2 linked regions of the Arabidopsis thaliana genome follow. The protein of the gene in region 2 purifies or fractionates together with the protein of the main gene of each other region. This does not show direct contact. Each region holds a gene or a part of one and is shown on either strand. Other genes may lie near its edges.

The links. The genes of interacting proteins can lie anywhere in the genome.
Region 1: the proteins of AT3G24150 (region 2) and SCL5 purify together in Arabidopsis thaliana (affinity purification with mass spectrometry, with the first as the bait; one study listed by BioGRID). This does not show direct contact.

Annotation. Positions count from the first base shown.
Region 1 is NC_003070.9:18,736,536-18,741,609, reverse strand, and holds SCL5 (scarecrow-like 5), read left to right. Parts: upstream 1-1,960; 5' UTR 1,961-2,050; coding exon 2,051-2,264; intron 2,265-2,274; exon of another isoform or gene 2,275-2,436; intron 2,437-2,620; coding exon 2,621-4,212; 3' UTR 4,213-4,547; downstream 4,548-5,074. UniProt on the Arabidopsis thaliana protein: Probable transcription factor involved in plant development.
Region 2 is NC_003074.8:8,723,566-8,727,655, forward strand, and holds AT3G24150 (uncharacterized protein), read right to left. Parts: upstream 2,422-4,090; 5' UTR 2,022-2,421; coding exon 1,921-2,021; intron 1,835-1,920; coding exon 1,720-1,834; intron 1,640-1,719; coding exon 1,525-1,639; intron 1,409-1,524; coding exon 708-1,408; 3' UTR 532-707; downstream 1-531. Other genes in the region: PMP (putative type 1 membrane protein), read left to right, coding at 2,676-2,729, 2,816-2,890, 3,209-3,304, 3,394-3,469, 3,555-3,653, 3,771-3,841, 3,943-4,047.

The sequences.
Region 1 (5,074 bases), on a different chromosome or scaffold from region 2:
TAGTAGTCTCTTAATTTTCTTTTCAAAATTCTAGTAATGAAATTATAAAGGATGACTTTGTTATTCCTAAATTATGTGACTGCGCACGATTAAGAGTTGTTATTTTCGGACAGTGTTACTCGAGGAAAGACATAAAAAAGACAAAAGACATAAACAATGATAAAATTAAACTTTATGGGGAGAAAATCAAATGTAAAAAAATGAAGAAAAAGAAAATGGAAGGTCAAAAAGTTGAATGCTGAAATTGTTCTTCTGAAAGAACGCGGAATTGGGTTAAAGAGCTTTAAAGTGTTGGTGGGCCGACACGATTGGTCGGCATGAAATCTTAAGGTGTGAACCTTTCAAGTACACATTTCTGCTGCTTATGCAGTGTCCATACTCCAATTTCGGTTCGTACTGGAAAACATACTAAAGTGGATGTATATTTGATAACAGTTTTTGTTTTTGTTTTTGAATACTAGTATTATATAAAAGAGATTTTTCCTAGTCTACTAATGTTTCAATCCAATCCATTGTAGTTATCAAACTAGTTATTTATGGGTATTCAAAGCTGATAATATGGTACTGCGGGGTAGTAGTATAATACTAAATAATTACTTACGAAATTAATAATGAAATGAGTAATTATAGAATGAATGCATATAATTAAGTGTTTTTTTTTCACAAAAGAAAGACGCCTGAATTTAATAATAAAGTGTATTAAATATTAATTCACATTTGTCGTAAATACGTGGATTGTAAAAGTGTATCAATCGTATGTATGTACCACTGGTTAAACAAATGTATGATGCATCAATAGTCAAACTAAAAAACTCGCTGATCTTTGAACACGAAGTTGAAAAAAAAGTCGAAAAAATCTCACTGATGTATGTAAAAAGAAAATATGTTGGTAAATAAAAGAAAAAATGGGAGGATAAAAAGGCAGGGAATAATCACAAACTTTTAGGCCTAAAAATGATAAGTGTTGGACCAACCCATGGCTTGCACGTTTGGTCTCATCTCGTTACTTTTGTTTTCGATCTCATCGATGTCTGCGTCTGTGCGGACCATTTTACCCTTGCCTTTTATTACTTCACTAAAAGATGAACACACGAATTATTTAGACATGCGGCACACAATTTTATTACGGTTAAGTTTACAGTTTTAAGGCGAAAATATATCGTTATGCTTTATGCTACATTAATTATGTATAGTAGTACTCCCTACCCAAAACAAAGTTACGTATAGTACTTTGATTGGCCATCGAGGACTCAAGGTTTACTAAATAGAAAGTAAAACAAAGAGATGTTTATTGCATTCGTCGTCCACACATAGAATAATCAATCATCATCATGATTTGTTTTACATTCTTAAGTTCTCGTAATTATTCGTTTCGTACGTTTTTTTAATTTTATTCCAAAGAATTTAACATTAATATTTTGAAGAACCATGTGCTACTAGCCTACTATTATACTCAATTGACAACAACCCATTTTATTTTGCTTTTGCTCGTGTTTCATTCATTTCGAACGATTGGATTTACATAAAATAGTCTATACACAAAGACAAAACAAAATCGCTTTTTTTTTTTTTTTTTTTTTCATTTTGTATACTATTATTGTGGAAAACGCAACATTTATATATCATACTATTGATCTTGCATGGTTCCATGAATTTTCTAGGTAAAAAAAGTGTGTTAATAGAACAAACAAAACTGTTAAAACATGTTGAATTACTTAATGCAATTTGACTCTGGTAAAACATGGTCAGCCACGACATTTCAACTACTCTCATTAACTCCCAAATGTTTCATCATTTAATATATGAAAATCATTATATAATACTCGTATGATTCAATTACTCAGATAATAGTGATGTAATGCATGACACTTGTTTTTGGAATTTTATTTTATTTCCAGTTATATATTACAGTTGTTTACTCGTCAGACTAATATTGACTGTTATTAGAAATAAAGGTACTTAATTCTTATTCTTTACGCGCTACAAAATAAGCAACAATGGCAAAACCGTAAAAATGAGTAGTCAAAGGGGTATTTGGTTTTAGAAAGAGATGAGGATAAAAATGAGGTTAAGCGTTTTTATTATTCCCCTGGTGGAAAGTAGGCAAGCAAGTGGTATCATCAACAAACAAAGCACTTCTCTTTTGATTCGATTCTCTCTTTACCTTGAAGCTTCAATATCAACCAAATCTTTTTTCTCAAAATCTCAAAGAATCTCTCAAACTCAGTCTCCTATCTGTCTCTCTGCAAACTATTACCAACCAGGTTAGATTCTTGATCTCAAAGTTTCCATCTTTTTATTTTATGTCGGTTGCTTTCGCTGAGTTCTGGTTTCTTTGATTTTCTTAGTTACAGAACACAACTTACTTTGTTTTTTGGTTTGGGCTGTGTTGAAAATTGAGCTTAGGGTTTTATGTAACAGTTGTCTTAGCTCATAGTTACGGTTAAAAAGCTCTCAACTTTGTCTCCCTAATGATAATTGAATTCAATCTTGTTTATGATTTTTCTCTATTGGGTCGATCTTTAACTGAATCTATCTACATAAAGATCCAACCGTTTTAAGAATCTTAGGGTTCTTATCATCTTGTTCAAAACTAAGATTCTGTTTTTTGGTGTGGCAGATAATTTAGATATGGAAGCTACTCAGAAACATATGATTCAAGAAGGATCTTCAATGTTTTACCATCAACCATCTTCAGTCAAACAAATGGACCTTTCTGTTCAGACATTTGATTCTTACTGCACACTTGAATCCTCTTCAGGCACCAAGTCTCATCCTTGTCTTAACAACAAAAACAACTCTTCTTCAACCACAAGCTTTTCCTCTAATGAAAGTCCCATTTCTCAAGCCAACAACAACAACTTATCAAGGTTTAACAATCATTCCCCTGAAGAAAACAATAACTCTCCCTTGAGCGGTTCTTCAGCGACAAACACCAACGAGACAGAGCTTAGTCTCATGCTTAAAGATTTGGAGACTGCAATGATGGAGCCTGATGTAGACAACAGCTATAACAATCAAGGCGGGTTTGGACAGCAGCATGGAGTTGTTTCTTCAGCTATGTATAGATCTATGGAGATGATCTCTAGGGGAGATTTAAAAGGAGTGCTCTATGAATGCGCAAAAGCTGTTGAAAACTATGATTTGGAAATGACTGATTGGTTGATCTCTCAGTTACAGCAAATGGTTTCTGTTTCTGGTGAGCCTGTTCAGCGCTTAGGAGCTTATATGCTTGAAGGTCTCGTTGCTAGGTTAGCTTCTTCGGGTAGCTCCATCTATAAAGCATTGAGATGCAAAGACCCAACGGGTCCTGAGCTTCTTACTTATATGCATATCTTGTATGAAGCCTGCCCTTATTTCAAATTCGGTTATGAATCTGCTAATGGAGCTATAGCTGAAGCTGTGAAGAACGAAAGTTTTGTGCACATTATCGATTTCCAGATTTCTCAAGGTGGTCAATGGGTGAGTTTGATCCGTGCTCTTGGTGCTAGACCTGGTGGACCTCCGAACGTTAGGATAACGGGAATTGATGATCCGAGATCATCGTTTGCTCGTCAAGGAGGACTTGAGTTAGTTGGACAAAGACTTGGGAAGCTAGCTGAAATGTGCGGTGTTCCGTTTGAGTTCCATGGAGCTGCTTTATGCTGCACGGAAGTCGAAATCGAGAAGCTAGGAGTTAGAAATGGAGAAGCGCTCGCGGTTAACTTCCCGCTTGTTCTTCACCACATGCCTGATGAGAGTGTAACTGTGGAGAATCACAGAGATAGATTGTTGAGATTGGTCAAACACTTGTCACCAAACGTTGTGACTCTGGTTGAGCAAGAAGCGAATACAAACACTGCGCCGTTTCTTCCCCGGTTTGTCGAGACAATGAACCATTACTTGGCAGTTTTCGAATCAATAGATGTGAAACTCGCTAGAGATCACAAGGAAAGGATCAATGTTGAGCAGCATTGTTTGGCTAGAGAGGTTGTGAATCTTATAGCTTGTGAAGGTGTTGAAAGAGAAGAGAGGCACGAGCCACTAGGGAAATGGAGGTCTCGGTTTCACATGGCGGGATTTAAACCGTATCCTTTGAGCTCGTATGTGAACGCAACAATCAAAGGATTGCTTGAGAGTTATTCAGAGAAGTATACACTTGAAGAAAGAGATGGAGCATTGTATTTAGGATGGAAGAATCAACCTCTTATCACTTCTTGTGCTTGGAGGTAACTAATAAAAACCTTGTTCGGTTTCAGAAGAGATTAGAAACTTCTTTTAAAGTTTGCAGAATCTGTTTGTAAAAGTAAAACTCATGCATGATCCGAAGGAACAAGTTGTCAAATGTTGTAGTAGTAAGTGATATGTTGATGACCCCATATATGTTTAAGGTTTATGTTTTTTTTTTTCTTTTCTCACAACAAACTATGATTTGACATCAAACTTATAACTCTCTGTTTATGATGTGATAAATTAATGATATATGGTTTTTTCTTGTCGTTTGTATTACGCACAAGGTTAGGAAAATTTGCAGATTTTTTTGAAGCAATATCATTAAGTTAATGTAGCACCAGACATCTAATTGACTAATCGAATGTCCTAAACAGTCAAACGTTTAACCAATTTTAAGGTGTTTAGAATAGTACTCAATTTTTCATTATAATGTATTGTTTTTTTTAATAATTTTTTAATTTTGTTTCATTATATTAAATGTTTTACAAGTTTGGATGCAAATATAAAATGTATTTGATATTTTGCAGCCACTTTTGTAATTGGTTGATTTTTTAAAAGTTAAATAATCGAACGTTAATGTACGTTTAAATGATGAACATACGAATAAATCAAAGTTATAACCAATTAGTTGTTTGATTAAACAATACTTGTAACAAAAACATACATGATCCCATTTGTAACCATCGTTTTAATGTTTTAGTTAAGAGATAATAAGAGAGAACCGGAATTCTTTTTTTGAAAATGTAGTTTGAAAAAGTGGTTAGAGATAATAAGAGAGAACTGGAATTGTTTTTTTGTACTTTGGTTAAAACTATGGTACGTTTGGAAATGAAACAAAGATAATCTTGAATTATTATACATT
Region 2 (4,090 bases):
CAAACTGTTTAGTGATGAAGCTACAATGAACCCTCAAAAATGCTAATTAATTTGGTGAAATAGATCAATATCAACTTTCAACGACACACCTTTGTTTTTTTATGAAAAAAAAGTCTCATTTTCGTTTGTTTTGATTATAAACAAAGTTGGTCTCTCGCATGCAATGTACGTTCACGCTGCAATGACAATAGTGTACGTTCTTTGTTGTAATTTAGTCGAGAATCCATCTCCGACGTTAGGAACAATCTATCATCTTTCCTTTTTTTCTTTGCACAAATATCGTAAAAGTGATACCCACGATTATCTACACCAAAAGTGGTCACTGACAATGTACGAAAAAACTTAGAAAACAACTTAAAAAAAGACAGTTCAAAATGATGGTATTTGATCAGTGAGTAGCTTCTTCAGTATTAAAGCTCAATTACATTTATTCAACCTATGGTTATGATTATATAAACTCTGTTTTCTCTCCAATTTACCCTGAATATGTTAGCACTTGTAACTAACCTAATTCTTTCTATTAATTTCACATTTAAACAAACATATATAAATGGATTAACTAATTCTTGGATCCAGAATTTAGCTTACCATACTTAAGATCAATCCATGGATCTTTATTATAAAACTTGAAGCGAACGCTAAGACTAGTAGAGTCAATAAAATAGTAAACCAATAAACCTGAAGCTTTTACAACAACTAAGCAAGTCCTAAAGGAAGTCTCCACACAAAGTTCTGTGCTTTTTAACTCTCGAATCTGAATTCTGACCTTCACTATTTGAAAACCATTCAAACCTATCATTCTTCTTTACCTCTGCGAATAAACATAACTCTTCTTGGTTTCTTCCCGGGTAAGCCCGACTAGACCCGACATCTATTCTTGTAGACGGTTCTGAAGATATACCGAGCCTCAAGGATAAATCACAGACCCTCTCAGTTGCTTCTTCTGAGGGCTTTATACCAATAGGCATGCCAATGATTATGGGCGCTTCAGGGACTCTAAAAGACATGTCAGCTTGCTGCGTTTGATTATTACCTTCGTAATACAAAGGATAGACCGAACCCAAGTTGACTGGAGCTGGAGCAGGAGCAGAAGCAGGACCAGTTCCTTGTCTAATTGCCAATGGCTTTTGATGCATCTGCATGGATTCATGAAGAAACGGGTAACCGCGAGGAGTAGCTACACGCTTGTTGCTGTTATCAAGTACATCAACAGGGACTGCAGCTTGAACTGTCTGGCTTGGTTTGGTTGATGATTGTTGAGCTTGCTGACGATATTCATGATGGTAAGACGGCTCATTAGTCGACGCAGAAACCGGTTCCTGAATTTTAGGACCGAGGTAAGTCCTTCCGCTACTATGTCGTTGGCTTCTTGAAGCTCTTACAGCAATACATCCCAAATTAAGAGCAGCTAACCATATAAAAAAAAACCACATCAACAAACAATAAACAGTACAAAGCACTAACTTCTAAGTAGTTTCAATAAGGATCACTAGAGCTAAAGAGAGAAACAAAAATGACAATTACCTTCAACACATGGAGGCAAAAGAGGACCAGTTTCTGTACTCTCATCTCTTCTAATAATTGTATCAATGGCATCATTTACTCTATTCCACATAGTATCAGCATCTGTATACTCTTCCTAATGGAAACCGAAACCCAATTGTCATTTTGTGAAGCTGAAAACACACTAAAAAAAGAGAAGGAAAATTTGTTTAAAACCTCGGAATTGGCTTTAGAGTACATGATTTCTTCAGCTTTTAACACAACCACAGGCAATTTCTCCTGCCATTCTTTGTTCTTCCTCGTCGCTGCGCTATGTGCTTCCATTGCGAGTCTGAAATCAAACAAAGAAAACCCCAAATTAAGATACAAAGAAACCCTAGCGTACGGTTTTGAGAAAGATGAGTGAATGAAAAAAACCTGAAAATCTGGCGAATAATCGAACCACGAATAGGTTGATGACGATCGCTATGCCAAGCTCGTTTCACACACTCGTAAGGTCTTGGTCCTGGCCTCGGCATTTTCTCCTTCTTCACACACTTGAGCAGTGACACACTCAGCTACAAATCGAAGTAACAAGTCACTCACTCATCAAACTAATCGGTTCAATTTCTATCCGGGAGTATTTTCCGATCAGCGAGTTCGATGTACGAGTCGCCAAATGGTGTGGAAAGAAAAATCAACCTTAAAACTCTTTTTAACCGATCCAAGGAAACAGATCTGAAGCTTTGAAGCTCTGAATCGTTTGGAGATTTCGTCTACTTGAGCTCATACCGGTCACATCTCCGTCATCATCATCGTCATAGAATCTCCGATTGTTGTCTCCATCGTTGCCGCTTCTGGAAATGGAAATGGAAATGGTGTGATTCGGGACCGCTTCTTTAAAAACGAACCAGTTTTGTGATTTGTCTATTATACCCCTATTTGTACTAACTGTCGTTTTTTTTTTTTTTTTTGTCGGCAACTGTCGTTTAATATGGCTTTTTACTAAACCGGAATTGAAATAACCGGGTTTTGAACAGATAATATTAATTTCAAACGACACCGTTTTGGAGTTGTGTCTAACACTTTGATTGATTCTGAAATCTGGATTCGTCTCCTCCATTAAACATCTCTCGTCTGATAACACCGATCCATCTCTTTCTTTCTCTCTCCGTCGACTCTCGTTCTTAAAGATGAAAGCTTTCTACGTATTCGTTGTTGCTCTTCTTCTCACCTTGAATTATAGGGTTCGTTTTTGTTCCTTCGTGTCTTGCTCTCGTTTACGGAATTGCTTGTATGTAATGACATGGATCTGACTTTTGTTTGTGTATAGGGAGAAGCAAGTGGTTCTGTTTTCTTCATTGATGGATCCAACAATCAATATCTTCGTCCACGATCATCCAGTGAGGTAATGATTTTCGTCCCAAATGTGTGGATGACCGATTTGAAATAATCTCAAATTTGATCATTTTATATTTCAATCTAAGATCGTTTCTGGAAATTATACGAGTTTGGTCCATTGAAGTAGTAAAATAAGATCTATTGTTTGGTCTAAGTGGCACCAATTTGTAGTTTTCTTGTCTGTTTTTTTTTGTTATTTTGATATTGATGAGAGATCAATGGACAGATTGCAAATTTATGTTTGACAAGTACTAAAGTTTGTGATTTAATAGTTCTTTTTGATGAATTTTAGTTAAATCTCTTTTCTTTGAATTGAAATGCACAGGCACTTCCCATGTCGCCTGTTGAAATATCTGCAGCAGTGTCTGCCTTGTTGGGTTTTGCACCTTCAGCAACTTTGACAGCTGATGGCTCATCCAAGGTTATTTTAGTATTATAGTAGAGTTGTTTTTCTCTCTCTGGGTTAAAGTCCTGTACTTCATCGTTTATTTGTTTTGCATTTTGTTATAGTTGAACAAGATTCTAAAACCTAATCCATTTGAGAGGCCTCGCGCTGCTTTTGTGCTAGAAATCGCTGGAGCTGATGGTATGTGATTGGAAAGCTTTAGTTTTCTGACATGAACCAAAAATTTTAGTTGTAAAATATTCAAGTGTTTGTTTTTTACTTGCAGATATGCTTTTGGAAACCTCCCCTAGTCATTCTTTCTTGGGCAATGCCATAAGGAGCAGTATTAAGTCTGATTCGTACAAAGCTGATACTGAACTTCCAGGTGCCCTATCAGCTTGAATACCAGAACCATCTGAGCATGACTAGTTTCTAACTTTTTTTTCTTTATGGGTTTAAGTCTTACTTTGGATATTCTGCTAATCTTTTCAAAATTCTGCAGACAATGAAGTGGTTGTTGTGTCTGTCAATGAACCCTCCTCTGATGTGACTGACAAGGACATTAATGATTTTGTTAGTTAACAGCACCTGTCATTCTAAGTGCAAACACTATTTTTTTTTCCTTTTTAATATAATGTGACCACAAGTTAATGGTGTGGTTATAATATACTTAGGCATCTTGGTTGGGTGGATCATATGTTGCTGGAGCTGAACCATCGTCTGGATTGTTGAGTATCCCTCTGGCTGGGGGTGCTAATGTGGAGTTCAATTTGGAAAAGGTAATATTCTTAATTCCATGAAAAATTGTATGATTTTATGTGG